Linked DNA regions of Drosophila melanogaster. The protein of the gene in region 1 interacts with the protein of each later gene in a pairwise test. Each region holds a gene or a part of one and is shown on either strand. Other genes may lie near its edges. The genes, in order: CG42788 and IPIP.

What was found.
Region 2: the proteins of CG42788 (region 1) and IPIP interact in a two-hybrid assay, tested with the Drosophila melanogaster proteins (one large-scale study listed by BioGRID).

What each region holds. Positions count from the first base shown.
Region 1 is NT_033777.3:15,122,643-15,138,138, forward strand, and holds the start of CG42788 (uncharacterized protein), read right to left. Parts: upstream 9,285-15,496; 5' UTR 8,966-9,284; intron 8,218-8,965; exon of another isoform or gene 8,112-8,217; intron 1-8,111. Other genes in the region: CG6912 (uncharacterized protein), read right to left, coding at 12,543-12,736, 12,857-13,750, 13,830-13,889, 14,068-14,137, 14,200-14,283; CG3984 (uncharacterized protein), read left to right, coding at 14,520-14,631, 14,692-15,496.
Region 2 is NT_033779.5:6,039,129-6,054,699, forward strand, and holds IPIP (inositol phosphatase interacting protein), read left to right. Parts: upstream 1-8,873; 5' UTR 8,874-8,981; coding exon of another isoform or gene 8,982-9,515; exon of another isoform or gene 9,516-9,565; 5' UTR 9,566-9,748; coding exon 9,749-9,809; intron 9,810-9,882; coding exon 9,883-10,218; intron 10,219-10,285; coding exon 10,286-10,504; intron 10,505-10,945; coding exon 10,946-11,220; 3' UTR 11,221-11,310; downstream 11,311-15,571. Other genes in the region: CG31643 (uncharacterized protein), read left to right, coding at 1-815, 880-1,159, 1,211-1,485, 1,541-1,736, 1,796-2,003; Pfas (phosphoribosylformylglycinamidine synthase), read right to left, coding at 2,186-2,883, 2,947-5,223, 5,300-6,389; slmo (slowmo), read right to left, coding at 7,925-8,572; CG34179 (uncharacterized protein), read right to left, coding at 8,611-8,652, 9,006-9,515; CG9135 (uncharacterized protein), read left to right, coding at 12,550-12,894, 12,952-13,533, 13,594-14,130.

The DNA.
Region 1 (15,496 bases):
ATCGGGTTAATGCTGCCACGAAAGCCATCATAAAAGATTGGTTTTGATTTCAATAAAGTTGTCACAAAACAAAAGGGCACAAAACAGCATCCGAAAGATATTAGATTTCAGACAAAGATTCTGGTTAGTTAGAAGGTTTTCGTTGAAAAGGGCTTAAAGATCGATTCTTGGTATTTTCGAGATAAGCATTCAATTCTTTATGGTGATGCCAGAACCAAACTGAGAGAAGCGCACATGTGACACTTTTAATACGTGATAAAATGTATATTTGATAATTACTATTGTTTATATTCATAGAACATGAACTGTAGTCCTTTCGTCTGTACTACATTAGATGACACCATTACTTCATTGAGTCCTAATGATCTTTCATAATCCATCAAGATCATGCTCATAATCACGTTCCCCACGTTGGCCATCCATCTTCACATTGAAAATCTTAGGAAATACGGGCCAAAACGAGATCACTTGTCTACGAAAACGAAAACGATGCAGTGTCGGCAAGTTGAAGACCTGAGAAGGCCCTTAGACCCGCAAATAGACGAAGCCAAAGGGAAAGGCGATGGGATGGGCTCACTGGCGAAGTGAAGAGGCGTTGGCATTGCGTTGACGACCACGTTACAACTGACTGAATGACTAAGTGAGTGAATGAGTGACTGAGTGACGGAGTGGCGGGTCATACACATATAGCATATAGCATATAGCATATAGCACCACCACTGGCCGACCGATCCCACTGGAAAAATGAGATCTTTAAGAGCAAACGAAACGCTGGGGCAGTACAACACACAAAAACTTCGCCCGAAAACAAGACATCAAGATCAAGCCGATTTCAACGGAATTCCATTTAGTGCTGGGCAAATAAATAACAAATACGGCAAACAGAACCGGCAACAGGAACTACTTGTACAAGTGAAGTAAATGGAGGAGAAACAAGTTCAAGACGAAATTAAGGTGAAACTCTCTTCTGTTCTGTTTGGCAACGGAAAGTCGCGACTCGGGTCCCAAAAGCCACCAGAGTGATAAAAAAAATCAATGTTTGAGCTGGTCGCTTATTGCTTGATTCTGTTTGGAAAATGCTTGTTGATTTTTGTGGGCGGAGGATGAGAAATTCAGAGAGTTGGGGGTCGGTCACAGTTCGGTCCTTATCAACATTTGTCCAGGCGCGCAATAAACTCGAATCTATTGTGTTGGCCCAGGTCATTACTCTGCCCGCAATGGCCAAAATATATTGCTGCGGATGGGTCGCGGTATTAGATATTAGATATTAGATATTACTTTTTATACCCCAATAATGAAATAAGACTTTTCTGAGGGTGCAGCCAAATAAATTTAAGTAAAGCGTTGAAAAACATTGTAAATATTATACATGTATGTTAAAGAACAAACTGGATCATATGCTCATTCTTATAAAAGAACTAATAATTCATTAATTTGGTATTTTTCAGCCGATAGTTCTTAGTAAATATTGAGTATAAACAAATTTATCTCAAACCGAATATCGTCTCCTACAACTGAACTCAAAAACGTATCCTTGTCACAAGCAACCACAAGTGCATATCTCAACGCTACTTAACCTTCTATCTGAATTTCAATCCGGACCATCGAGCACTTGAAGAACACCAGTCACTGTATGCCACCCAAATCGCCCAGCCCCAATCAAGTGCCTTGACCCTTTTGGCCAGCCAGGAAAAAAAAGAAAACAGAATTATAATAATCGTATATTGCCGCAATGCCATAAAAGTTGACCAACTTGGGAGGGATTGCGGGCCGAGAGATATTCCATACATATAAATGAACTAATTTGGTTTACGCTTTTGGCCGGTTTTATGGACCGCAATGCCGGGCATTTGCGGCCCAGCCCGAAAGCCCTGGGAATTTCTCATAGTGTAGGAGTGATGGCCGCACAAGACAGCAATAATGCGGGCCAAAAACAATTGTACTAAAACATAAATATACTTTATTAAATAAGGAAAATACAACCATAATTCTTTGGCTTCCATTTCGTCTTGTTTTCCCCACTCCCCAATATTTTGGCCCCATCCTCTGCTGACGTTGTCTCTGCCCTCGTCTTTTTTTTCGATTTTTTTTTTGTTTTGTGGACTGGCGTCATGGTGGGCGTTTTGACAACCACGCGGCTAAATTCTGGCCTTACTTAACCAAAAATAATTATGTGGGATACGCCACCACTCACACATCAGAGCCAACTAAATTAAGCATATTTTAGCTATTTTTATAGAGAAATAATAATAATTTGGCTGCTTCTTGCCATTTGTTAATGGCTTTGATGAACAGCGAGGCGAGAACATACAAACAAATATTTCCAATAAAAATACCCAAAGATTTATGATAGCCATCGCAAGCAGATGTACCCTTAAACTAAATTTAAAATAAAATTTGAATGATTTGAAATTGAATTAATTGAATTTTAAGTATATATTAGGCCATGAGAAATAAATTTAAGTGCACAAAGATGGTTCCCTAATTGAGGCTATAATTTGCAAAGTAAGCTCATGGCCATTTGATTTTTCTCTTTTTTAAAATATCGTAGTACCCATTATGCGCTAGAGTATCGACCATGATGAAAACTCTTTTGCGAAACGCTAACAACGATAACAGCTTCCACCTGCATGTCCCACCAACAAAGCCAAAGGCAATGTTTTCCTCTTGTTTTTAGTTTTAGTTTATCCACGACTTCTCCCCAACTATTTCAGCGACGTTTGTGTCTCGTTTTTGTTTTGTAATTTATTTATAAAATCTTTCCCCCTACACACAACCAGACCAAAAGTTGAGCAGAAGACGCACCCAAAGAAAAGCAAAAAAAAAAAAAAAAAAAACTAAACTGACACCGGAAGTTGTGGCTGCCTCATCTTTGGCTCGTCTGGGGTCTTCTGCCCAATCTGCATCTTTTACTCTCCTTCGGAAGCCAGACAAATGCTTTAGAGACAAATTACTTGATTTGCATATACTTATATACACTCTCAACCGAAAAACCTCTCAACATTGTCAATTTTTTTGTACTTCTACACGCTCTTCACTCGCTTGATTCTTATTTTATGGAAATTTATCAAGAAATTGTCGGAGGCGGGATGCGGGCGGGTCGAGCGCAAATTTGACGCGCAGTGGAGCGCAGCAGGAGAATAATCAAGCAAAGGGAAAACTCCCAGCTTACCGCCCCTTTTCCCAGCTGCGCTCCACTGTCAGTTGGCCAAGCCGGCTTTACTTAAGACGGTCTCCATTCATTCATTAATGCCCAAAAGCAGCAGCGACGCGGGATAGACATCTGCAATACCCAGATACTTTTTATTACACGACTCCCGCTCCGCCGGCGAAAAACATTGCACCAGCATAATCCCAATAAGACGTTGATTCGGCCTGACGGACTAGATGCCATTGCTCTAGCAACGATTACAGCAGCACCAGTTATACAGTACACCAGTTCCACAGTACACCAGTTGCCCAGTAGCAGCGGTAGCCAGAGTGCCCAAAGTTAAAGCCAACAACTGTCGCCTCGAATGCACAGTGGTTCAAGGTCGTTGGGGAAACGATAATGCCGACAGATTTACGGTGAATGGATCAACAGATGGTTTATAGATTGCACGCATTGATGATAGGTTTATGAACAGGCAAAGAATTGGGAATACTGATGATTGTTTGATGGGATCAACAGATGGGCGGCGTATATATGTATATATAGGTGTGTATATTATCAACTACGGTTTAGAAACTTAAGTTTATAAATAGCAATAATCACATGATTTGTTTTATAGGTATTAAGCAGCTAGTTTGCAAAAAGCTCATTTTAATTATTTTGCTGATTATTAAAAATTACTATTACTTCGCCGCATTGCCGTTATCAAGCCATTTTAATATTTCAAATAATTAGGTGGGCATATAATCAGTGGCCTAGAGTGGGTAATTAAGGAAAACTAGTTTCCACAGATGAGGCATAATCTGAATGCGATGCCTGACTGATGCCCTTAACAGATTGAAATATAAGTAATGCCAGGCGGCGCCTTAAGGCTGACTAAGCAAACTTTTCCAGACCCAGTTGCTATCAAGCGATGATCAGGTGTAATCCGATCGTTTATAAATAGTCTGGCGTAACATCGAAAACAATCTGCGCTGTTTGGAGCACTTAATCAGGCGGTAACATCAACCTGATTATGCAGCAGGGCGCCATTACTTAAGCATCATAGGAAATGAGTTCATACATTTTCAGATCACTTTTCTACCAATGTGCAATGGTACAATCGTAAAAATGTAGGGAATTAAGTCAGTCAGTGACTGTGTGTAACAGTTAACTGAATTTGTCTCTTACCATCTCGTTTGAGCCCAAAGTTGCACAACCGTGGCGGGGAAAAGTGGTGGAAAATCGGACAATTGGGTGAACAAAGGGGCGGCAACGGGGATCAGATGAAAGTCTTACTCAATCCAAGTTGCAGTCTGGGGCAAAAAGTAAAACTCAGTTTGAATGCAGCGCAACTAATTAGTTTTGAGGCTGCTTTTCTTGCTGCTGCTGTAATCGCAGTGGGCCACAGACAGCGACAATTTTCCCACTGAATTTTCACTTTTTTTCTTTACCCGCGCTTGGTTCGCTACGTGCCCGGCTAAAGAAATCAAAGAAAAACGAGTTAAACAAAAGAATTTATGAGCTACGAAAATCTTTTGGCCCCGCTGGTGGGAAAAAACGGGTGGGGAAAATGGTAAAAATTGGAATATGGGATGGGAATGGGTGGGAGTGGCAAGCAGTTCTATCTTTGTTATTTTTCCCATTGGCATCGTTGTTTTTCCCAAACAAAATTTCCATAAAAGTACATGCTGGCAGTCGTTGAATTAAAATATTTAAATTGCTTTGTCAAGCCAGATATAAAGCATATTCCTTTAAATCCAATGTGTACATACGCATATATTTTTATTTAAGTTGTCTAAAAGATCTCAATTAATTCCTGCTTGGCGCACAAACTAAATGAATTACGCTCCGACCAACAGAAACTTTCGGAGATTTATGATTTTCGAAATGAAATATGGCTTTGGTAGTGCAGGATTTCTCTAAGCTAAAATATTGTTCTCCTTTCAAAATGTGAACCGAAGGAAAGGCCAACGAAGCTTGTAAAATTAATAGAAATTTATGGTTTTATGGGTAACAGCTTACCTCAAAAACTTGTTACACAATAACCTTTAATTATATAATATTTAAGAAGTATAAAAATAAACAAAAGCAACAAATAGCATTTAATTGATTTTAAATAGGCTATTTTAAGTGATCGAAAGATTTACTCCGAAGATATTAACCAAATTGGGAATCCCACATATATCAGGAAATTGAACGTGCAGAAATGACAAATCAAAGTAATCGATGACCCTCCACAAGGGTATCAAATGGATGCCAAATGCCTTTACGATTATATATATACTTTTTTTTTATTTTATTTCGGATTTCTTTGTCGCGACTCTGGCCCGCTAAAATTCAAAATCATGGCCATGGCTCCTAGCATGCGATTTCACGTTTTTCGTTATTTTTATTTTTTTTTACGTCTTATGGTCTTTTAGCCCCACATCACAAGTAGAAAACACAATCACAAACACTCCGACCGAGAGACACGCAAATAAATAAATAAACATGGCTGAATAAATGAATATTAAATGGCCAAAAGCTTTGACCAAAAAGCGAAAAAGTGAGGAGGTAAATAAATACAAGTAATAATGGGAAGATAATAAACAAAAACGATATTCGATACGCAAATGGCAGCTAGTGTTTAAATGTTTGCCTGGCTTATCAGTTTCCTTTTTTTGTTTTGTGTTTGGGTTTTGGCATTTGTTTAGCCGAAGTCCGCAGCGGAAACTCAAAGCCTAGGCGCATGCATCCGCAGAATGCGTCAAAGATATTTCGAATTTTGATTGACGACGACAAAAGATTGGACGCCGACGTCATCCAGCAAATATTTCAAAGCTTGAATTTGAACTTCGGGCTTGACGTTGATATTTTTTTCTAATGCCTTTGCCGCCCACGTACGCGGCTAAAGATACAACAGCAAAAAGATACAACTGCGATAGATACTTCTATACACACACACATACATGTACATACATTTATTCAGGCGGGAGCGACGAAACCGCGAGAGCGGAAGCAACTACTTCGACAGCATAGAAGTGTGTGCGACCCAAGGGGGCGTGGCGGGAGGTGGAAACCGGGGGCGATGTGCGAAAGGGGGAGTGACAAGCTTTTGCGGTTTTTAGTTACACCGACCTCAGCTTGTTTGTCGGTACAGTGGGACGAATCGGAGTAAAATCCATACAAAAATATTATTATTAAAACTACTGAATAAAATAATACAACAAATAAATAAATAAAAAATATGAAATAGGTAATATAAGAACATAGTATTAGAAATTACGCATACGTAATACTTGAAAAAACCAAAGAAATTGTTAACATCAGAAGAGACTCATTTTGATTGTCTTAGATAATAAAGATATACCTAAGATGAAACCAAGCTAAAGAGCGGCAATTCCTATATTATTGGTTATCAAAATTATGCCTAGGTATCAATTTATCGCAAGCATCGTCAATCATTTCTTGATACTAATTATTGCATATCAGCATTCCATTCAGCGTCACTTTGTCCCCACTGTCTTTTGCCTTGCGCTATTGTCATTTACTTTGCGGCAAGCAATTACATGCGACAAGCCGAGCGGCAGTTGTTTGTTGTTGTTTTAGCTGTTGCTGCTGCTGCCGTTGATATTTGATGTTTGCAGCTTATGGTTTTTGTAGGCGTGGCCCAGTTTATTGTTGCTGTTGTTGCCGCTGTCGCAGTTCGCCACATTTGGCCGAGAAAATTGATGTCATGCCGACTTCTTTCTGGGCTCTAGCGCGAAAACATGCGTAAAAGGAGCTGCGAAAAGACAACTTCTCTGTCCGACCCAACCCGCTGCGCCCCCAACATGCCACACGCCCACTCTTTGTGTACTTAATGGCTGGTGAAATTAAAATGCCTGCGCAGCAAACAAACATGCACAAACTTTTTCGGCCAGCGAAGGGGTGTGGGTTAGGGTGGCACGATATGTATGTTGGTCGAGCAGGCCACAGCATGGAATAATATTTTTGGCATCCAAAAGTTTTGGTTATCTTAATTGAGGCTAATTTCAAATGAGAATAATATTAAAGCTTTAATTTCATAAAATCTAGTATTAAACTGTTTATGGAACGGATCAATAATGTGCTCTTAAGAAATTCAATCAAATATATTTTCCGCTTGGTCCCAAATCAAAGTATTAATTTGGTTTCATGTAAAAAGGGGGCATCAACCAACTATGGGTGGTGAGTGTTAACGGCGGTGGAGAGGCTGGGAAAAGGAGGGAGCGAGATGGGCTGCGTTTAACAGCGGCGTTGGCAGCAGCACTGGGCGCTTGGCATCTGTCAAACGTGTCATACGCAAAATAGCTTAACTGTCATAAAAACAACAAGTGCGTCAGGCACCGGAGATCGTAAAACGCTTTATTACAATACCCCACCAATTGGAGTGGGGGTACGGCAAATGTGCGGCGACGTTTATGTCTCACAAGTGGGTGAAAGGGGACGGAAAGGAAAGGGAATGGATGGTGGTGTGGGCAAGGTGGGCGAGAGGTAAACACTCGAAATTGCACAGGAATTCCTTGGGCGGTGTTTGTTGATTTACATAATGTTTATCTTTTACGTTTTACCCGATTTGTTTGATTTATTTATGAACTGACCCCAAAACCGACAAGATTTCTGTGTTCCGCGAAATTCTGTTAATATAATTAGTTCACACAGTGTGGATAATATTATAATGACCTTTCCAGCGTAAACTTTTAGATGGCTATATGGATTTAGATGGATATATAAAATATCAATTCAAAGTAAATATAACATCCCCATACAATTTGCAATACAAAATCGACCGTATTTTGGTTTAGTTAAACATTTCATCTATTTATTTCAATTTACCTATTTATTTACTTTCCTCCGCTTATTTGTTTGATTCTCTAATTTATTTATTTAGTATTCTTCCCACTCTCTTCCCCTCTCCCATTTCACCACTTATTTCCGTTTCCTTTCACCCCTTGCCGCTGCGCCATCTTCCTCTTCTGCTGGTCAGAACGCCAACGCCTCGCACAAATACACACGGCCATAGTTTTTTGCTCCATGCACATGGCTGTGTGTGTGTGTGAGCGTTGGGGGTTTTAATAATAGCGCACACACACATTATAAAAGCTCCCGCTGGAGCAGAGAAATGTTGCACTAAAAACTTCAACGCCCGCACTTCTGGCACATATCAAACAGCAAGCAGAAATCACAAAAGCAAATACAAAACTTTCTTGCCAACACACACACTCTCACATTTCGCTTCCCTTTTCAGAGAGAGTTTGTGGGCGGAAGAAAGGGCTGCGGAGGCGCAGGCAGGGGGCGGGGCGGTACTGCCACAATAATAGCCTTGTTGTCTGCGGCAACAGTTATGAAAAGTGCGGAAAAGAGAGGCAGACACATAAAAAACAGGAAGTTTGTTGACTTTTTTTCAATTAACACAAGGGACGGCGAGAAAGAGAGAGAGAGAACAATTCTCTGCTGGGGGAATTGCACAATTTATGGGCTTTTGCACTATGTAAACAAATGCTTATACAACAGTCCCCTATGCTGTTTATTAAATATGATTTTAGTTTTACTTTGCTTTTGCTGTATTGTGTGCGTTTTTCGGCTATTTGTTTAATTTAATATTCTCAATTTGTTGATTTCCTACGATTTAACTTTAACTTTCATGTTCATATTATACTTTTATTTTTATTTATATATATATTAAATAATTTCCACACATAGTTCATTTATTTAGTTTATATTACTTGATGAAAAGTTGAAAACAAAACCCCAACATAAATGCAAATCAAATCGCACGCACACCTGCAACTAACACCCACTCGCACACATACACATACGAGTATAGCGTACCTCTCACAACAACAATTAGTTTGCACCAAAATGCACTGGACGTCGCTGCTGCTGCTCCGCTGCGTCGCTGCTACTGCGCTATAGCCGCCAACGCCGCCACTTTGTTGTTGCCTTTGGGGCTGTTTTACCTTTGTATTTGCAAACACATAAAAACACACACACGCACTCACTTGGCGGCGCCGCTTTCTTTACACATTTTTCAAGCAAACTTTTTTCAAAAGCACACAGAGAGGCAGAAAGGCCCGCTAGACCGCTATTTCCGATTCCAGTTCGAACCCGAATCGACGACCGTCCCGCTCGCGATGCAAAAACACAATGAGACTGGCGCGGCAACAGCTGAAACAAACCCCAAGTGTTATCGATCTATCGACGAAGTGTTATCGACATTGTATACCCGCTATCAAGTTCGGTGCGTGTCTCTGCTAAGTTGGGAGTGTGTACTAGCTATTTAAGGGTAATTTGAAATTCGAAACGGGGACTTCCCGAAAAGGTAATAAGCAGTAATTTAATTTTAATTTAATTTATTTGTGCTTTATCCCTTATATATATATGTACATTTCATTAAAGCTAATGGTATAATTAGGTATTTACAGTGTTTAGCTAAGGCTTTCATCTGAAATATTTATTAATTATGTCTAGTTGACCTGTTTTTAGTTTTTTTTTGTATAACAATATTTATTATTTATTAAGGAAAACAAGGGAGAAGAAAAACCTTAATTGACTTACAACTAACTTAAAAACTAAGACTTGAAACAAAAGATTGTTAATATTGTATTTTTTGTTGAACTTTTTGTACACCTGCTTTTATATGTAGGTACTTAGTGTTTGTGTAATAAGGTAAGTTCATTATTAATTTTAACAGCTTGTTTTGGCATATTTGAAGTTTTTTGATATGAGTTTGAGCACATCTACCCCAAACAGGTGACCCATACATTAATATTGGATTAAAAATTGTTTTAAAAATTATGATCTTATTGGATATTGATAATTTAGATTTACGATTTATTAGAGGGTACAGTGTGCAAATAATTTTATTAACTTTCATAATTGTGTTGTTGATGTGGTATTTAAATGTTAGTTTTTTATCAAAAATTATACCCAAATATCGAATGTTGTCAACCCATTGTATTGGAGAGTCTAGTATTCGCAACTGTCTATCAGGAAGATAACGAGGTTTCCTTCTTTTTGTAAAAAATATATGTACAGGGAGTGTAAGCTTGGAGTGATGTATAGGTTTATGAGGGACTGCTTTAAGAAAGGCATAATTGATTACTCTAGTGAAAGAGCCGATTAAATTATCAATATCCAAAGTCGATATCTGTGAGCAGTTGACAACCACCTCTTCAACCATCAGCCTTTCATTTATAATTCTCTTAAAAAGCGCCCAATTTGCCCTTCCCAAAATCGGATATGTTTTTACATTGCGCATAAAATTTGTAGAGTATTTAATAACCACTGGTAGGTGATCAGAGGAAAGCTCTTGCATTACTGCTGGATTAGCCAGCTGGTTAGGGATATTAGTGAGGCATAGGTCCAATGTTGATGCTTTTGCTTTATGGTTATGCGGAATATATGTGGGTTGCGTAGGGTACAAAATACTGAATTTTCCCAGATCTGAAAGTTCATTGAGAATTTTGCCCCAACCATTGGCTCGGGTACACTTCCATGCTCTGTGGCGCGAGTTGAAGTCCCCGCAAATTAGAAAATTTCCATTTATTTGTGAGATCTTAAGGAGATCAGATCTATACAAACTTTTTAAATGATTATGGTCCCAAGATAAATCACATGAACTAGGAATACATTTTGAAGTATTTCCAGCAAAGTAAATAGAGTAAATTTTTAGACTGGAATTAGAGTCAGTGTTGATTTGTATACCTACATTTTCAATAACATGACTTTTAATGCAGGGTATTTGTTCATGTATCAATGTGTTACTAACTGCAATGGCAACGCCGCCTCCCCTACTTTCCTTCCTGTCATTTCTGTATATAGTGTATTCGGGTATATTAAAACGGTCACTATGAGTCAGCCACGTTTCATTTATAAGTGCTATGTGAATGTGATTATTTTCTAAGAACTTGATCAGTTCTATACGTTTGTTTCTAACGGCACGAGCATTCCATGCCATAATATTCAAATTATCAATAAAATTATTTGTTTGTGTAAACATACTTAATCGCTAACTGAGAAATTACTTGAAATTGCTCTCCCTTATTGGAGCATTCATTAAATCTTGTTATTAATTCAGACAAAAGAGAATTTATCTCTTCACATGAAAAGAGATTAGTTTCACTTGTGATATTTGCTTTGGGATTAGGCAAAGTATGAATATTGGTGAGTGCATTACTATAGCTACCAAAGTTGAGTTGTTGCACTCTCTTAGTTTGAGTAGGCAATGAGATCTGGGGTTGATTTCCAAAGAGAGCAGATGGAGCGATGTGTTGCTTAGAATTCCTCATTCCATGAGCTTCCAAGTTATTTCTTCCAATGCGTTGTGATGAGCGTTTGGAAAGTAAATTGAGATAAGAAATTCGGCATGGGCATGTCAGTTCTGTCGATGGATGGTCGCCTTTACAGTTAGCGCATTTTTTGTTGTTTACGTCCATACATACGGCAGTCTGGTGTGATCCAGCACAATGGGCACATGATGTTTTAACTGAACAATTATTTGATCCATGTCCAAATAGTTGGCAATTGTAGCATTGAGTAATTTTATTCTGCAATTTCACTTTATACTCCCAGCGTACTTTAGTGTGGTTGACATACATAAAGTTTTTGCGCAGTTCCTTTACTGTGATACTTTTGTTTACGAAATAAACAATGTACAGTAATAATTCATGATCAGACTTAGTTTTCTTTTCCACAATTTTGACTTCGGTGCATTGTAATCCTAGGTTTTGTAGCATGGATTTGACAGTTTCAATTGGTAGTTTATCCAGCCCGGATAAAATGGCTTTGTATGGCTTGTTTGATCTAGTATTGTACGTGTAGAACTCACAGTTATGTTCCTTGAGTTGGTTACAAGCTGCATTGAAACAGTCCATATTTGGTAAAAATATTTTAATTCCAATTGAGATGGTTTTAATAAAGTAATCATCAGTTTTAATTTTAGCCATTAGCTCGTGTACAAATTTTGTATTTTGTTTAATTAATGTTATAGGAGGTGGCTTGATTATTATTTCATCAAGTGTGTCCGTTTCAATAGGTTTATCATCATTATCATCGTCTAAAGTTTGTAGTGGACGAAAATAATTTGTAAATTGCTTGGAGCCCCGTTCGTTCTGGCGCTCCACTAGTGGTTTATTCCTTTTAGTACGCATTTTTTCAACGGCAGATGCTTCAGCATCGCCAATTGCATCACTTGAACGTTTGATTGTAGTTTTTTTGCGAATATCACAATTAAAGAAGAAAACAGAAAATATTTAATGTACACCAAAATGTTCTCAGAGAGAATAGAAGATTTTACATCCGCGTTCGACAAGAGCTAGTCGAAGACTGTAATAAGCAGTAATATTAACGTCTTTCTATGTAAGTTAAAGTATGTTTATTTAAGTTGCAGAGAGACAAATTGTTTTAGCTAATAGCACTTCTTGTTGCACCAATCCCAGATACATCCGTCCATTGCATTGCAACCAAATTCTCCAGGATAAATGCCACAAAAGTCCTCGATATTCATGAAGGCACAGCTTCCTTTGGGACAGTAGTAACTGTAGCAGCCCGGTGAGCACTTATCCCGCTGGTGATCCTTGCAGCCGGAGCAATCCAAAATGTCTGTGGAAACACAAGATTGTATTAATGATCCTGAAATACATTTTTTATCCTTATCTCTTCGATAAGTTCGTTAAGCAGATACTCAATGTAAATAATAAAAGAAACGATTTGAAGACTCACCGCTCTCCTTGCAATCCGGCGTGCTGCACGCCAGAAGTGGAGGATTTGGCGGCATGACCACTCGTTTCGCGTTTTCGTCATATACGACCTTCGGTGGCTTGAGATATACCACCGGGGCCGTGCAGACTCTGGAATCGCAGAACTTATTCTCCTTGTTGGAGCACACCCAGTTGGGCGCATAGTTGATGCAGATGCGAGGGCTCTTTACAAAACAGCATTGCGGTGGAGGATGACGCCCCGGAAAGACTTCATTAGCCGCCGACTGTTCCGTAGATGGCCTCAAACTGGGGTATATCCAGGGACGTCTGGTTGTTGTTGTGGCTACGATGTTATCTATAGTATAGTCATAGCTCTTGTCGTTATCGGGATCATAGGGTGCGGATGTAATGTACTCCACACGATTTATATTTTCGCTGGTCACCGAGTACTTGTGCTCATTGTGGATCACATTGTCAATCTCAAGGATAGTGGTGATAAATCCCGGTTGTTGGCAGCGTTTTTGATACCACACGGTTCCCGCTGGGCATGCCAATGAAATGCAACGGCCAGCCTTATATTCACCCTCCGAACAGACGATTTTCCTGCACTGCGAGTCGAAGTAAATCGATCCCGGTGGACAGCGAGTCAGTTCTGTAATGACGGGAGGCGCAGTTGTTGTTGTTGTTGTTGTGGTAGTGGGCTCTGTTGTTGTTGTTGTGGTAGTGGGCTCTGTTGTTGTTGTTGTGGTAGTGGGCTCTGTTGTTGTTGTTGTGGTAGTGGGCTCTGCCGTTGTTGTTGTGGTAGTGGGCTCTGTTGTTGTTGTTGTTGTTGTCGTAGTAGTAGTGGTCGTCGATTCAAGCGGGCAAGGCTCAGGATTCGTACGATAGCATAGTTCATCAATGCTAAGAAAGTATCCTAAACAAAATGACAACGAAAAAAAAAAACAACAAAAAATCTCACGAATTAAAGATTTATAAGTTTTTTACTAAGTTACCAGGCCCGCACGTTTTGTTAGTCTGTGGATAACATTTTCCATCCGCTTTCAATTGATATCCTAATGAACGATAAAACCAAAAATAATATAATAATAATACATTGGTTTTTCATATACTTTTTTAAAATTATCAGTTAAAGCATTGAGTAGTTCTATAAATAGTCATACACAGCTGCTGATTAAATTGGGCACCATTTTTGGTACAGCGAGATTAACCATTTTTTCAGAGATTTCTTACCTGTTTGACAAACGAAAGAGCTTTGCCACACGCCGTTGACATCCTGATATCCCTGCGGAGATGTCGGCTTCTAGGGGAATATATTTGTATAAGAATAGACACCAATCCTCAGAGTAAACCACATTCGGTTACCGCGATGTATGCTTGAGCACTTCCGCAAGGCACAAGGGTGATCAGGCAGGCAACCAGGGCCGATCTGAATGACTTCACAAGCATACTGTTTAACTTGCTTGCTGATCCGGGAGCTGAGACACAGATTCGCGATGTACGGCGGTCCGCACTAGGCGAGAGACTAATCGAAGCGACGCTGAGCTCGCTGGGATGCCTTTGGAAAGCATAATTGCTGGCGCTGCGATAACCTTCGTGTTCCAGATAACGGTGAAGGTCGCTTGGGCTGCAGCTTCAGCCGTTCCTAATCCGTCACCGGTGAGCCGGGATCAGTTCGAATCGAAATGTCTGACAGTGAAGTGGGTTTCCGTGTGCAACGGCTGCTGCTGTTAATCTGTCTTGGACTATTTCCCGCGACGGTTATCACCAATTATACACCAAATCCCTGCCAAAATGGTAAGTTCGACTTGGAAGCGTTTATCCGTCAGTCCACTGATGACATCATTCACATCTTAGGTCAGGTTAATGCTTATATCGTTTGCAGCCCCATTATTTTGAATATGTATAGTAACCTGTGCGGAGGTCAAACGGGGATTCAATGCAATCCTTCCAATCCTGTGACTACTGTTGTTCCTGGTACCCCCGGTTGCCCTAACACTCCTCAATATCCTACAGTGGTTCCGAATAATCCATTTAATCCCAATGTAAATGTTGTTCCTGGTACTCCCGGTTGCCCCAACACTCCTCAATATCCTACAGTGGTTCCGAATAATACATTTAATCCCAATGTAAATGTTGTTCCTGCTACTCCCGGTTGCCCCAACACTCCTCAATATCCTACAGTGGTTCCGAATAATACATTTAATCCCAATGTAAATGTTGTTCCTAGTACTCCCGGTTGTCCCAACACTCCTCAATATCCTACAGTGGTTCCGAATAATACATTTAATCCCAATGTAAATGTTGTTCCTGCTACTCCCGGTTGCCCCAACACTCCTCAATATCCTACAGTGGTTCCAGATAAGCCACTTTGTCCCAATACACCAACAACTCCAGCTTGTCCCAATGCCAATGGTCCGAGTTCCTGTAATTCGAACGGCCCATCTTCGTATCCCACGAACGGTCCTAGTATCAATGCTCCTTCCCCAACTTCTCCACCAACTACCACTCCCCCAAGTGTTACTGAGCAACCAGCGCCTGCACCTCCAGCAAATCCAACACCACCACCTCGACCGATCCCAGTCCCAGTCACTACGCCGCCACCGGATCCCATTATCCGGTGTCCGGAGGGAACAATTTTGGTGAAAGGTGTTTGCCGTCT
Region 2 (15,571 bases), on another chromosome or scaffold:
GGAGTCTGCAGATCTAAAGAGCATTTGTCGCACATTTTTGCATCATCAAGAACCCGCCGCACTGATAGAGCCGCTCAAGAAAGCCCTTGAAAAGTTACTACAGGAAGAAGGCACTGCTGACGCCCTGTTTTGTGCAGTTCCCTTTGCAACGCCACTGCAGAGAGACCAGTATCTGCATCAGTTTAAGGAACTGCTCTACTCCGAAGAGGCCTGGCAGCAACCCAATGCGAGCGGACATTTATTCAGCGTTCTGCGTGCACTAAAAGTCTCCGACATTGAATTCTGCAACACATACTGGTCAGGAGTTGTAAAAGAGCTGGAGTCCTGTCCGGAAAAGCATTTGCACCTACGGTTCCTGAGACACTGTCAACGCTATATGAACTTTAATAACAATCTGGGAGGAACCTACCGTCACTTAGAACTGGAACGAAAGCTAAGTCGCATGTGCATGAATGCTATTGAGCATGACATAGCGGGAAGGCTGCCAGCGAAGTTCGCACGACTTGCATCCTTTGTGCTAGCTTACGGGCAGACTCCGTTGGCCTGGAAGAAATTTCCCAACTTTTTGTTAAGCAAAATGCTCGCAATGGCGCCCCAGCTTGGCATTCAGGATTGCTTTCTCCTCAGTCGCGGCATGCAAATAGCCAGCGAACTAAGGTTTCGCCAGCATCTTCCGGCATTAGCTGGCATGCAACTGTCCACAATGGACAGCATTCTCATCGGTTGTGCGGAGAGGCACTTGAGAGATGCCGAAAAGGACCCTCTAAATGCCAGCGAATTGAGCATGATTGTCAGAACACTCAGTCATCGCAAGAGTAAGTTGATAACTTTGGTTCATTTGAAATATAAACAAATTTAAACAATTTTATCCCTTTACAGAGCTAAAGAATACGGTGGTTTACAACCAGGCCCTGGCGCAGTACAAAAATCTGCACTGCAACGATCTCAATTCTCGGGTGGTTCGGGACATGGCCTACAACTTCAACGCTTCGAATTTCTTTGTTCCCGAGCTCCTGGAGTCCATGTTCGCCTACATTTCCGAACAGCATGATCACGTTTCCGGCGACACAGTGGAGAAAGTGTTGACCTGCTCGTATAATTTGGGCTACATGCCAGCGTCCGTGGAGGCTCTAAACCACGCCTCCGAAGTACTGCTAAGGTGGGCATAAACATTTCTTGAGGCAGATCTAAAATGTAATCTTTCCATCAGAGATTTTGACCAGATGAGCGGTTTATCGGTTGTCCAGGCTTGTCTAGCACTGTGCTTTTACAAATCAATACCAGAGCAGCTAATCAATCAAGTATTCTGCGTGAAATTCATTCAGCGAATCGAGGATGAGATACAAGTATGCTACTCAAAAGCAACGTATCCGGAGAGGGTCCTTAACCTGGTTATGCAACTGAATCGCACAGTATGCCTGGACTTTCCCGAGGCGAATGTGCCCTGGTTTCAACAAAACTACATCGAGGCGCAGATCAGCAAAAGTAACATATAACTACAATTCTGTATTAGGCGTTCTTTATCATATTATCTTTTTAGAATCCTTAATACCCAGTGAGTCCACAACAGAGGTGAAGCAGCTGCTGCATCAGCTTCTTCAAAATGACAAGCATTTCCGCTGCAACCACACTACACCCTACGGCTACCAAATAGACTTTGTGATACATTTCGATCGGGATAAAAATCCCATCCCAGCACCTCCCGTGGAGGCAACCATGTTGGATCGCATAACCAAGTAGGCACACAAATGGAAGTTACCTTATTCAGGTACTTCATTAATGACTCCAATTTCAGAGTGGCAATACTACTGCTCAAGCTCGACTCTTTTTGTGAAAACGATCTGACTGCATTGCGGGGTCCTGAATCTTTGAAGATGCGACATCTAGAGATGATGGGCTACAAAGTGATGCAGATCAACGAGCACGACTGGAACTCCAAGTATATGGCGTCATCAACAGCCAAGGCCAACTACCTTAAATGCTTGTTACAAATTTCACATTAGCTTTCATTTCTATTCGTTGCGACGACATTACTCATAAGTACGCTTATTTGAGTTTTAAAGTTGTTTGAGTGTTTAAGTTTATTTTATAAAAATAGTAAACAAATTCGTGTATATAGTATTTAGATATATCAGGTCATAAATGCCAAGAACCTATTTAACTGCTTTCAATTCATCTAGAATATCTATTGATTCGACTTGACACACCAATTGTACGCGTTGTTAAACATAATCTGCCAAGGACTTTCCGATTGTGTGGGGGAAACTTCGAATGAAGATGGCACATAGGGCCACTGGTACATGGAGGAGCATCGCTCGGGATGTGGCATGAGGGCCAAGTGACGTCCATCCGACGAGCAAAGGCCAGCAATTCCCTGAGGACTACCGTTCGGGTTAAGTGGATACAGTTCCGTCGGTTTGCCTACATCATCAACATATTGCAATGTCACCAGCTGTTCCGACTGCAAGTGGCTAATGAGCTTCTCGTCGCGGAATGCAAAGCGACCTTCGCCGTGAGCCACCCAACAGCCAAGAACCAGATCCTTCATACTTCCGAGCATGATGGAGCGATTGCTTGGAATCTTCACGGTGGCCCAACGACACTCGAACCGCTGCGATTTGTTATGGAGCAGGGCCACGTCGGGATCTGCGCCCACCTCGCTCTTTGCACTGCCAACAAATCCTATAAGTGTCATCAGCTGGCAACCATTGCAAATGCCCAAGGAGAACACATCTTGACGACGCTTGAAAGCCTCAAACTGAGGCAACAAGCGGGGATTGTGGAGGATGTTTGCTGCCCAGCCCTTGGCGGATCCCAAAGTGTCCGCATAGCTGAAGCCGCCCGGGAAAATTAGTCCGCGGTATTGGGACACGCTTGCGGTGCCTGAAATATTAAATTATTTGCTTTAGTACTTCCCCCTTTATTAGAATTTACCATTGAGTTTACCTTGAAGAAGATCCGACATGGTCACATCGTGCACCTCGAAGTTAGCCCTCAGCAGGCAGGCCATCATCTCGCGCTCACTATTGACACCCTCCTCACGGAGCACGGCCACGCGAACTGGGGCGGAGGATCGCTTGAGAGTAAGCTCGGCCTGCACATTCTGAGGTCCCCTATACTGAGGTGCTTGGCGATACTCAAGGCTATTGTACTCTGCCTCGGCGCACTCAGGGTTGGCCTGAAGCTTTTCCAGCTCGTAACTGGTTCTCTCCCATTTCTTGTAGAGCACACGGAGTGGCTGGTCCAGCAGCTCTGACTTGCCGTTCTTGAGTACCACTCTGGAATCCAGTCCGAATCCCTCGGTCACGCCCAAATAGTAGTTTGGTACTCCTGCCTTTTCGTAGGTAGATCGAACTCGTTCCAGGTCTGTGTCCAGGACTTCCACCACCCATCCACACTCCTCGGCGAAGAGAACAGCTAGTTCGGGACGATTAAGTTTCTCGACAGACTTATCGAAGTTCTTGAGCTTGGCCAAGGGCTCCGATAGATCCACTCTAAGGCCACTCAGTCCTCCGATGGCCATCTCCAATACGCAAACAAGCAATCCTCCGTCGCTGACATCGTGTCCTGCTTGAATAAGTCCATCTCCCAACAACGATTGAGTCACAGCAAATGCTTTGCCCAGCACATCACTCCTTGTCAAGTTTGGCGTATCTTTGCCCTGCTGCGCGTATGCCTGAGCCAGAGCCGATCCACCTAGGCGAGCGCTGTTCTCCAGATTTATCCAGAGCAGGGAAGTCTTCGACCCCGCGCCGGGTCCTTTAAGATCAGGCGTTACCTTTAGCCGCACATCCGGACAGGGAGCATAGGTGGAGATGACAAGAGTACCCGGGGACTTTATTGTCTCACCGCCCACCTTAGCCGCCATGGACAGGGAGTCCTTTCCGCCATCGATGGCGATGTGAAGTTCCTCAAGAATCTGACAGAGCTCCTTGCAGGCGTCGAACATCCGGGCACCCTCGCCGGGCAGCTTTGCAGCCCACATCCAGTTGCCAGAGCACTTGACATCAGCCAGTTCGCTGATCTTTACAAACACAAGGTTACTCAACGCTTCAGCCACACACATCCTGGCCATTGCGGCGGGATCAAGCAGTCCTTTTAGTGGCTGTGTACCAATTGAAGTGGCGATTCCAGAGTGACTAAAGTGGGAGACGGTGGTTAACGCGTAGTCCGCTAGTGGAGCTTGGAGCGGTCCCACGCACTGTTGCTGTGCAATCAATCCACCGACGCAGCGATCCACCTTGTTGGTCAGGAAGCGCTTGCTACCGACTGCCACCAAGCTAAGAACTCTCTCCAAGGCCTCGTCCAGAAGGAGACCTTTCGGCAGACTCAACTCCTTGAGCGGCGTCTGTTCGCGTTTCAAGTCGTACGTTCTCTTGGGCATGTCGCCCAAAACGTACTTAAGTTCCAAGTCGAACGGTGAGACTTCGCTGCGATTGGACGCATTCAACGCCTGTTCCAGATCCTTGGGGGCAGGCTTCTCCAGCAGCGTTACTCGCCCATCTCCGGTCACCACTCCCACGAAGCTGATGGGACAGCGTTCACGGCGGCAGATCTTTTCCAGCAGTTCGCGTTGATCAGCGTTGCAAAGAATGGCATTGTTTTCCTGGTACTCGGCACCCCACAGTTCGAGGGCAGTGATCGTGGGATCGCCGAGTTGGAACTCCTTGGAGAAGATAACAGCTCCGGCAAAGCCTGGTTCCACTAGCTCCTTGAGGACATTGCCGTTGCCGCCAGCCCCCTGGTCATGGATGGCTAATATGGGGTTTTGCTCGCCCAGGTCTAGACAGGCTCGCACCACACGGTTCAATTTATTCTCCATTTCGGCGTCTCCTCGCTGTACGGCATTAAAATCTAGCTCAGCATCTCCGGATCCTTGTATCTCCACAGAGCTTGCGGCGCCGCCACCCACTCCAATCCTGTACACTGGGCCCCCGATCTTGGCCAGCAACTGACCGCGTGCCGGCGGCAGCTTCTCGCGCATGGTAGCGGGCATGGTGCCCAAGCCACCGCTGAACATGATCGGTTTCACGTACTCATCCCGCTGGCTGGCATCGGCAGCACTGTTCAGTCCATAGGAGAGGGCAAAACCAGAGATCACTGGCTCGCCGAACTTATTTCCGTAGTCGGAGGCGCCATTGCTCGCCTCAATGAGCACCTGAAGTGGGGGCGCAAACGTCGCAGGGTATTTAAAGTCCAAAGGCTCGTACGGCTGTTTGTAACCTGCGACGACAAGAAAGTCGTGATGTATAATAAAAACTAATAGGAACTAAATACTCAAAAAAAAAGCAATGCTCACCTGGAATGTGAAGAGCGCCAACACAGTAGCCAGCGGTGCCGGCGATCGGCACGCCTCCTCTGCCCACGCCCTGGACATCACGCAGTCGTCCGCCAGTGCCGGTGGTGGCTCCGCTGAAAGGCGCCACTGCAGTGGGCATGTTGTGGGTCTCCGCCGTGAAAATCAGGTCAGACTGCACGCTCTGCAGACGCACTGCGCCGGGAGCGACCACGGAGGACGGAACTATGGTCTGGTGATCGAATCCCACCATGGCACTGCTGTTGTCGCTGAACTTAATGGTGTTGTTCGGGTTCGTGTGGGCCTGCGTGTCCATGATCATGCGAATCAGCGACTTGGGCTGCTCCACGCCGTCGATCACCATACGTCCGCGGAAAAACCAGTGGCGCGAGTGCTCACTGTTGCTCTGGGCGCAATCGAAGAGCTCCACAGTGGTGGGATTGCGGCCCAGCTCCTTGGCAAACAAGTCGTGGTAGTAGTCCAAATCGTAGTCGTTGAAGGCTAAGCCCAGCTCCTGATTAATCCGCTCCAGTGCCGCCCTACCCTCCTCCAAAACGGGCACGAAATGCCAGTTGGCCTGGCGCTCAGGTAGCTGCTCGTCAAAGCTCGCCTTGGGGGTATTCTCCTCGGTGTACAAGCACTGGGTCATGCGGTCACCGAGCAGAGGAACAAACCTGGCTGCCTCCGGCGCCTTTGATCCCTCGCCAAAAGTAACCAGATAGCGGGTGGAGGTTTCCATGCGACGCACCTCTGAGTACCCGAGATTCTGGAATATGTTCACGCAGTTCGTGGAGTACGGCGTGGAGAAGTTAAAACGCGGCCCGATCTCCAGGAGCAACTGACTCGACCCAGTTGACTGCAGGGCAGGTTGCCTGGACAAGCTCTGGCCTTTGCTCAGCGGTTGCTTGACCAGCCACACCAGCAGCTCGTCCAGGGCCAGTGAGTGCTCTGCCTGAGCGCTGTACTCCAGATGATAGCAGCGCTCCATGCGCACGGACACCACGGCGCCGTCTTCCTCGCGCAACCGACGCAGGACACTCTCCTCCTCGGCCGCGGAGTGGGCCTGCACATCGTAGTAGCGAAGGATGACCATGTCGTGGGGCTGCAAGAAACGAAAAATGCGGATTGAGTACAGACAGTGTGCACTCCTTGCTCGTCGAATCGAGAATGATCTTGGGAGTTGCGAAGCGGTTGACGACCAGTGGGTCCGTGCCCACGCTGGGGGTTATCAACTGGCGGCACCTATACCACAGCCACACAGCCCACAACCCACAGCAGCGGATCAGGTTACAGCCGAGCGAAATCGATGGAATCGCCTGCAGCAATCGCTGCACTGGCGTCACAACTTGTTTTTGTTTTTCCCCGGCTGGGAGTTTGCTGATAAGCCGGCGTAAACATATTTTCCATTACGAACGGAAACCTGCGTTGCTGAATGGTCGGAATTTAGGTAAATAATTAACGCCAAATACCCCAAATTGAAGCACAATAACACTAACACTGAGCGGAGCACACGTGCGTCTTAGCTGCAAATTACGATCGTTTTGAGGCTCCAGCTCGGTTTCCCCTCATTTCGCGGCTCAATCCACCACAGCGTTCGGTTGGCCAGTGCTGCACAGCGACTGCCGCTGGAATTCAAATTAACCCTTAGGCGAATTGAGCTTTAAAAGCTTTCGTAAATTGTACCCATTGCGTAACTTGCAAGGGTTAATGCTACACGGGTTCAATGAACCAAATAGTTTAATTGTAATTCGTAAGGATTACTTGTTTATTTTGATTAAAAGCTTACGAAAACTGCTAAATAAATAAGTTACTTCTTTTGATAAGTTAGGTAAAAGTATTTCACCTTGTCCCTAGAACACCTGCTGTTTGATCATCAACTTGTTTCCAAGCACCCACTTTCCCCTTCAATCACATTCTTCGCAACTGTTGAACCAGATAAGGGACATATCAGTTTCCATGTCTGCGATGCTAACTAGGTACACAGTTGTTGAGCCACTAGGCACGTGGGCTTTTGATGATAAGCGAATAAAACAGACGCCAAAAATCGCTAATCAAGTATGTATGTAGAGAAAAAACCCACAAATCGACTTTCTTGGGTTTTATTTATACACAGAATGCTTAAAATTGCTGCAGTTGCACATGCGAACGTCATGCAAATGCAAAAAAAAAAGACGCAGTACAAGTGTGCTGCGAATTAAAATTAAACAATTGAACTTGACACTGGCTGGTCGTAGGCAAATATGTCGTTTAATTGCTCCTCTCGTTCTTCGAAATCTGCGGCGGCTTACAAAGCTTACATTGACTATGTACTTTAGGTTTATATATATATTGATCTGCATGAATGGGGGCCAGCATTAGCGCGAGTTCCTTCCAGTTCAGCCATTCGGGGGCACTTCTTTATCGACATGACTCATTAGCAGTCGATTCGTTCGAAGGGGAGTAATAATTATAAAATATATGCATTGAATGGCTTGAGAATAGAGGAAGGTGTTGCTGTCCCACATGTTGCTGTCCATGTCCATCGTGCCATCGATTAATTAGTTGTACTAAAACGACGACCGCGCGCCATCTAAATAATTCACTAGTGAACAGCCCCCGCGCGACCTTGCACTGTCGCCTTGTCGACACCTACGTAATGTGCATCGCCTTCGCCGCCTTGGCGGCCTGCGCACTGATCTCGTCCATGCTCTTCCGCGCGCTCTCCGTCACCTCGTCGATGGAGCGCCGTGTGTTGTGCAGAAGTTCGTCGGTGCCGCGAGCGATGCCCTTGACCTCCGTGTTGATCAGCCCGATCACCCACTCCAGGCCCTGGCGTCCCTTGCCGGCATTTGTGCTAATGGTCGAGGTGAGCAGGTCCTCCATGTAGTGGGACAGCGGCACACCAAAGACGGTCACGGTGGCCTCCTGCTTGAGCAGCGTCTTGCTGGCATCCGACGGATGCGGCTCATAGTAGAGCACCTCGTCCACGCTGATGTTGCGGCAGAAGGTGAGGTTGTTTGTCTTCAGCACCATCTGTTTGCGCTCCGGGTCCACCGTGGAGCGTTCGCTGGCGAAACAAGTTTTGGCCGTGCCGATCAGCGCGTGCGTCCACTTGGGGAAGTACCACTTGGACTGCACCAGGCGATGCGTGTGCAGGACGCCGTCCACCACACGGCGCTCGACCACGTCCGTGCCAATGATGGAGGGCGTCATCGGATTGGGGTACTTGCGCCACGCCGCCTGCGTGACCGTCTCCCACGGGTGGTTGAATATGTGCTCCGATGTCCAGATTTTCATTATGCAAGCGCCGTTGTCGTCACCGTCCGGGGAGGGCTTTATATCCTTAATTGGCAGCCGAGATGCGGGCTGAGCTGAGCCTGCGGGGGCAGACGGAACGGAATTAAACAGGGGGAGCGTTAGCTGAAGTACACGACTCGAATTTTGACGGCAATCTCGGAATTATTGAATATTTCCGAGACAAGTTACGAGAGCTGACCTTTACTCGTGCTGTGCTGCTAGAGATGACAGTGGCTCCGATAGATGGGGCTATCGCTGGCCAGTGCATGGGCTAGGGTGGTCACACTGGCGCAGTAAGAGAAAATGAAAGTGCCGCAGGCACCCTGTAGCGGTAACTTATTTATTAAATTTATAAACTAAATTAATTCTAAAAGTAATGGCGGCACTTTGACATTGCACGTGCAGCTTCCTATTGCGGCCCGAAGGTACGTACGTATTTCTCGTAGGGCCGTTTATCCAATCGCTGTAGTCGGCTCTCCACGAGCTCCCGAAAGTTGTGTATTACCTCGGCATCCGCCTCGATTAGTTTCCTCTCCTCGTTGATGATCTCGGCCAGCTGCTCGTCACTGTCCGCCGCCGCCCGACGTGACACCGAGCCCTCCAGACGAGTGCTGATCTGGTTGACTATCTTCTCGCTCTCGTAGTCCATTATCTTGGCCAGCGCCTTGGCCGGCGTGCGCCGCGCATAGCGTGACTCGGGTATGGTGGGGGCATCCAGGTACGACTCCTCCTGCACCGCCAGCGTGTGCGGCTCCTGCTGTTGCGCGTCTTGCTTCAGCTCCTCATTTGTGTACTCAATGAATTCCTGCAGGGAGGGCTCATCGGGATGCGTTTCGCTGAGCGTGGAGTTGTTTTGAAAATTGGTCAGGTGGAATGTGCCATTGGTGTCGTAGAACTTGTAGCCCAGCATCTCCAGCGCGATTTCCGTGAGTAAGTACGACATTTCGCAGGATTCAAAATTCGTTTATGTTTGCAATCTACATTGAAAACTAGAAATTCCGCACCCAGCAATCGATAACCGGTGGAGGTGTGGCAGCACTGGCCATCAGCTGTTCGCGCAGCGTCAATTGTTTCTCGCTTTGCATTTTTTTTACCTGTTCATCACAATAATAAGAGACGAAAGGCGGAAATAGGACACCCATATTTGCTTCGAATGCAGCCCGAGACAGTGCAGCCATGAAGATCAACGAGAAGAACCTGTACGTGTTCGCGAGAACGCCGCCCTTCGACATGGAAGGTATGCAAGCGAGCCCTTTCGCTCGTCTATTAATAATCATAATCCATTTATCACACACCGATACGCCTTGCAGGCTTCCTCAACAAACGGGGCGAGGTCAACAAGGCCTTCCAGCGACGCTACTTCGTGCTGAAAGGCAACCTGCTCTTCTACTTCGAGTCGCGCTTGGACAAGGAGCCCTTGGGCCTCATCATTGTCGAGGGCTGCACCATTGAGCTGTCTAACGAGGTGGACAACTACTGCTTCGAGATCGCCTTCAACGGCAATCGCACCTACATCCTCGCCGCCGAAAACCAAGACAGCATGGAGACGTGGATGAAGGCGCTAACATGCGCCGGCTACGAGTATAAGCGCATCATCCTGGCCGAGCTAAAACGCCAGTTGCAAGAGATGGAGGACGCAAGAAACAGTGAGACTGCACAATGGCTAATCCTACAATCCCTGTGCACTAATCCGCTGCGTTCTTTAACCTACAGAGATGCTCGGCAGCGCCTTGGACGGACCACAAAATGCATCGGAGAGTGCGAAGCCTAGACCGCCGCCCAGGCGGACAAATCCATTCAACAGACCCGCTCCTCCTCCACCAGACAGTTCGCTGAGGGGCGGAGTAGTCATGTCGCCCCTGCCATTTATCAACGGATACTTCGGATCGAGCAACGCGCGCCTGCAGCAGGAGAAGCTAATGAGCAAGCAAGGTATGAACACGTACTCTTAAAATGGATGTACAATGCTGTGGGTATAGTAATGCAAAAATTAACTGAACGGAAGTGACCAAATTGAAAGACGAAATGAATCACCATGTTCGGGGCTTTGAGTTTTAAAAGCTAATTTTAAGTGGGAAACTTGGCCAATAGATAACCGCAGAACTACAACTTTGCCTAAATACAATCATACGGCATTTTTCGGCCCCAAAGCCAGCTGTTTGTTTGTCCCAATACAATGTGAGTCTACCGTTAGTAGAAGCTAGAGATAAGAGCAGAGTGCTCTCAGTATAATCCGAACTTCGATTGCCAGCTTATCGTTGCCATTTACCCAGAGCCGATCTAATTTAGTCAGCGGAATGCCACTAAGCGACATTCTCTGCAAAATCTGTTGCATATTCCCAAAGCCAGGCTACAGGCACTTTCTACTTGCAGACGCAAACGGAAACGGAAGCCCCAGCGGAACGCCCAGGGCCCAGCGCCGTCCCACGCCCGCTCCTGCCATCGCGAACAGCGTCTTCTATCCCGATGTCCGGGATCCGGGAGCGGCCAACAATAATCACAGCACCGTCAACGGTGCTGAGCGCCAGCGTCGCCAGGTCAAAGCACTGGAGGAGTTCGCACGCAACCACGAGCGCTTTCGCAGGGAACTGATGCCGGATGTGTCCGCTTACCGCGAGCGCCAGGGTCAGCCGCTCATCCAGTTGTGATGTAGGAGTGGGCTGCTCCGACAAAAAGCCAATGTATTACCCGTTTTGTGCTAAATCAAATACGTTTCAAATGAACTATGCTTAATTTCCATACATGTTTGTTTCAATAAACAAAACTTTAGATATAACAAATTTCGGCGATCATGGCGCACTCAGTTATGTGGGCATACTAATAATTGGGTTTTTTAGGTTATTTGTTAGAATTGAAGGACTAAGTTGGTTTTAAAGTTAAACATAATGTTGGGATTACTCAAATGGATAACTTAAAGAAACCTAATTTTTGGATGACAAAGTTCTACATATGAAAGAACAAAACTTTTTTTGTCCAAATGAATAGACCACATATTAATTGTTATTTAGAACATAATATTTTTTAAAAATTCGATAGACACAAAACCCAGTGTGAACGGCGAAAATAATCGATAACTGCTAAGAAAACAAAAACATCGACGTTGGTTGCTTTGTGGAAACATCGATAATCGCGAGCAGCCATCGATACATGTTCCAGCTCTGTAACCTAGCGTTGTTGTTTGTAATTTAGCTGTGAAAAGTAATTAAGCCGCACACAGAACTGTAAGTTCACCCGCTAGATAAATATATTTGAGTAAAAGAACACAACCCGAAATGGTTAAAAGACTGCAAGAAGTCAGCAAACTTATTTGATTCGTTGAAGCCGTGAAATGTCTCTGTGTTTGTAAAGTGACGCTACCATTTTAAAGGTGAATTTTGCGCCGGGCATTGTCTTTTCTGTAACTTCGGCATGGACTTTTTTAGTTTGAAAGCCAAAACTATGAACACAATGCGTAGTTTTTCGGGTATCAAGAACTCATTTATCAAAGGCTAGGAATATTCACTATATCTGTTGGCGTCGCTTGCTGCGGCTTTCATTTTGTTTCTGTGCAAAAACCACCACACAAACACAGGGTCACACAGACGCGAGCACAGCAAACACACACCACCAAGCGGCCGAGAGCGGCTTGGTTTTGGACCGTTTATGCGAAGCTGAGCTCATGAAAACCGGAATTACCGTTTTGAAAATTATGTTTAGTTGATATTTTGAAACACTATTTCCAAATATAGAAATACATAACGTAAAAACGTAACGTGTTTTTAAATTTAATATTACGACCCTTCCTACTTCGATTTCACGTATTCAGCAGTTCATGAAGATTAAAACATAAACACAGTGCGCGCTACGCTCTGCTGCGTGTGAAGTTTGGTTCCGGTTTTCAGGGCTTGAACTTATCTTCTACATTGCTCCCTTCCAGCCGCCGAGCAGAGAGATCCAGACCAGTCCAGTCCACAATACAACCCAGTACTAGCGAGAAAATGTCGGCCAAGCGAAAGGCAGGTGGCAATGGAGCCGGACCCAACAAGCGGCGACCCAAAAAGAAGGAGTCGGACTACGAGGACGAGTTCAGCGACGAGTCCGACGACGATGGCGTGCAGCAGCAGGCAGCGGCCGCCAACCAGATGGAGGTTCTCATTCCCCACGACGACCTCGACCCGCCTAGCAAGCTTCCCGAGGACTTGCTGGCCACGCTAGAGAAGACTCCAGGTCAGATGCTGATCGCCGGCATGGTGACCTGGGACCTGACTGGCAAGCGGGACCGCAAGAACGTCACGAAGGTGCGGCCGAATCTGTACAGCTTCCATCGGTTCACAGAAGAGAAGGTAAGCTATTCCGCACAGTCGTGGTCCACTTGATTTCTGAGTTCTTTTCTTTCGCAGTACCGATATGTGGCCAGCGGACCCAGTGCCGCACACACCATTCTTATCAACATGGACCGCAAGGCGCTCGGTTTCGGGCGTAATCCCAGCGGCCAGCTGGGCCTCAGCCAAGACATCAAGTTGGCGGAGAAGCCCACCATTATTCCGGCCCTCGAACAGCTGAACATAGTGCAAGCTGCTGTCGGCCGGCACCACACTCTGTTTCTCACTGACACGGGAACCGTATACGCCTGCGGCGAAAACAAGTCCGGCCAGTGCGGTGTGGGAAATACGCATGCTAACATTTATTCGCCCACGCCAATTAACTACCGAGGTCCGCCGATCATTCGCATCGGTTGCGGAGCTGAGTTCTCTGTTATTCTGGACATTAAAGGTAGCCTGCACACATTTGGGCTGCCGGAGTACGGTCAGTTGGGACACAATACTGACGCCAAGTACTTTGTCAACGCCAACAAATTGTCATTCCATTTCGAGACGTCGCCCAAAAAGGTCGTTTTGTACATAGAGAAGAGCAAGGAGGGTCATGTAACGCCAGTCGATGGCGTGCAGATAGTTGACTTTGCTTGCGGCAATAATCACACGGTATGTGGATAATCTCCATTCCCCACTTATTTCAAGTCTAAACTACATTTTTCTCTTCAGGTCGCCATCGACTCCAAGAAGCGCGTTTATAGCTGGGGCTTTGGCGGTTTCGGGCGTCTCGGACACGCAGAGCCCAAGGACGAAATGGTGCCGCGTTTAATGAAGTTTTTCGATACTCAGGGTCGGGGTGGGCGCAGCGTCTTTTGCGGCTCCACTTTCAGTCTGATCGTCAACGAGCTGGGCCTGCTGTTTTTGTTCGGACAGAATAAGAAGACGGGCGAGGCAAATATGTACCCCAAGCCAGTGCAGGATCTTTCCGGCTGGAACATTACCGACATTGGCTGTGCCAATACATCGATTATGATTTCGGCCGACGACACACTGATCGCTTGGGGCGCATCGCCCACGTTTGGCGAGCTGGGCATTGGGGAGTTCCAGAAGTCGTCGACGGTGCCCAAGGAGGTGCCAAAGTTGGACAACATTAAAATACCTCAAGTGACTATGGGTTACTCGCACACGGTGTTGCTTGTGGACACCACCCATGAGGCCACCAAGCAAAAGTACGAGAAGATGCCCGAGTACACTATCGATGATTAGGTGATTAGATGGTGTGCGGCTTTCCAAGTGCTGCTGCAAACACGTTTACCGCTGCCAACAACAATACTGCTCCATGTAGGAAATTCTCAGAACTGATCATCGAAACTCTGCTGCTACTTATCGAAAGTGAAACTAAACACAAAAATCCAGCAAAATGTATGCTATAAGTTAAAAGATTATTATTACGCTAAACTCGCTATCTACATACTATACGATAATCTCAGAAAACGGAAAAAAAAAGTTGATTATGTTTCCAAACTCTAATTTATTCTTGTAACTGATACTATTCCATCCTGATCCTGTTCCCCTTTTATAATTTATTGCCGCCCACCTTTAGGCTTAAAAAGATGCATAAAAAGCATGATTACCCATTTTTAATTTTTAATTTGTAATTTAAACGTAACAAGTTACAGTATTCTGCATTCATTTCGAACAGAGTGAGCAAAAGCAACCACAAAACTACAAAACACGTAAATTAACGAACTAAGCGCATAGGTTACATATAAAAAGTATACCATGGAAAAATCCAATACCAGTTGCAACTATTAATAGTACATCATGCATTTTAATCTTATACAAAGGAATATTTAAATAAAGAGAATGTTAGTATTTAGACTGCACTCGTTTATCACTGGCTTTTCACTGAATGGTAAACATTAAAGCTACTTATAGCTGGCACACATATTTCCTATCGAGCAGGAAACTTTATGGAGGTTTGACTGTAGAGCGGCGAATCTAAGAACAAATTGGAATCAAGGATTAGCCGCACTGGGGTAGCTGTAGGTCAGTCCGCCAAGGGATGTTTGGCGGTATACCCCGATTTCTGACCTGTGCCGACTGAGTTCCCAGGCCCAGTCCCAGTCCCAGCCTTGAGTCCTCAGTCCTGATGTCCTGCCGATTGAAAGCGAAAGTCAGAGTGCGGAAAGCTCCGGCGCAAAGCTCTCTCTCTCACTCTCTCGCCGAGTCTCTCTGCTCTCTCGCGCGCGAGGACTCTTGACTTCGGAGTGCGACTTTGCGGCCGGAGCTCCGGCGGATTTTTCCCTGACACAGTCTTCCGCCGTGGTCCTGTCGAGTAATGTGCGCCGCTGAGGAACAATCCCTGCACGTCGCGCCTTGAGTTTCATTTTACCTTTTTTTCGCCCCCACCCCACCCGACACTCATACATACAAACACCGACCGCACACTCGCACACAGACACACACACACACGCGCACATTTGACAATATCAACAAAATAGTTCGAGGAGTTTTTAAAGCGTTTTTTACAAGTGTACGGCGATTCATTCTGCACACGAAATACATATTTGCTAAATTAAATATATTGAAAAGGCGGCACAGCAACGATCTAACTGTAAATTACAGTGCCTTCCATACAAAGAAAGCGCCGCAGAACAACATCGAGCAGCAGCAGGATCAGCAACAAATGCCTCAACACACTTCG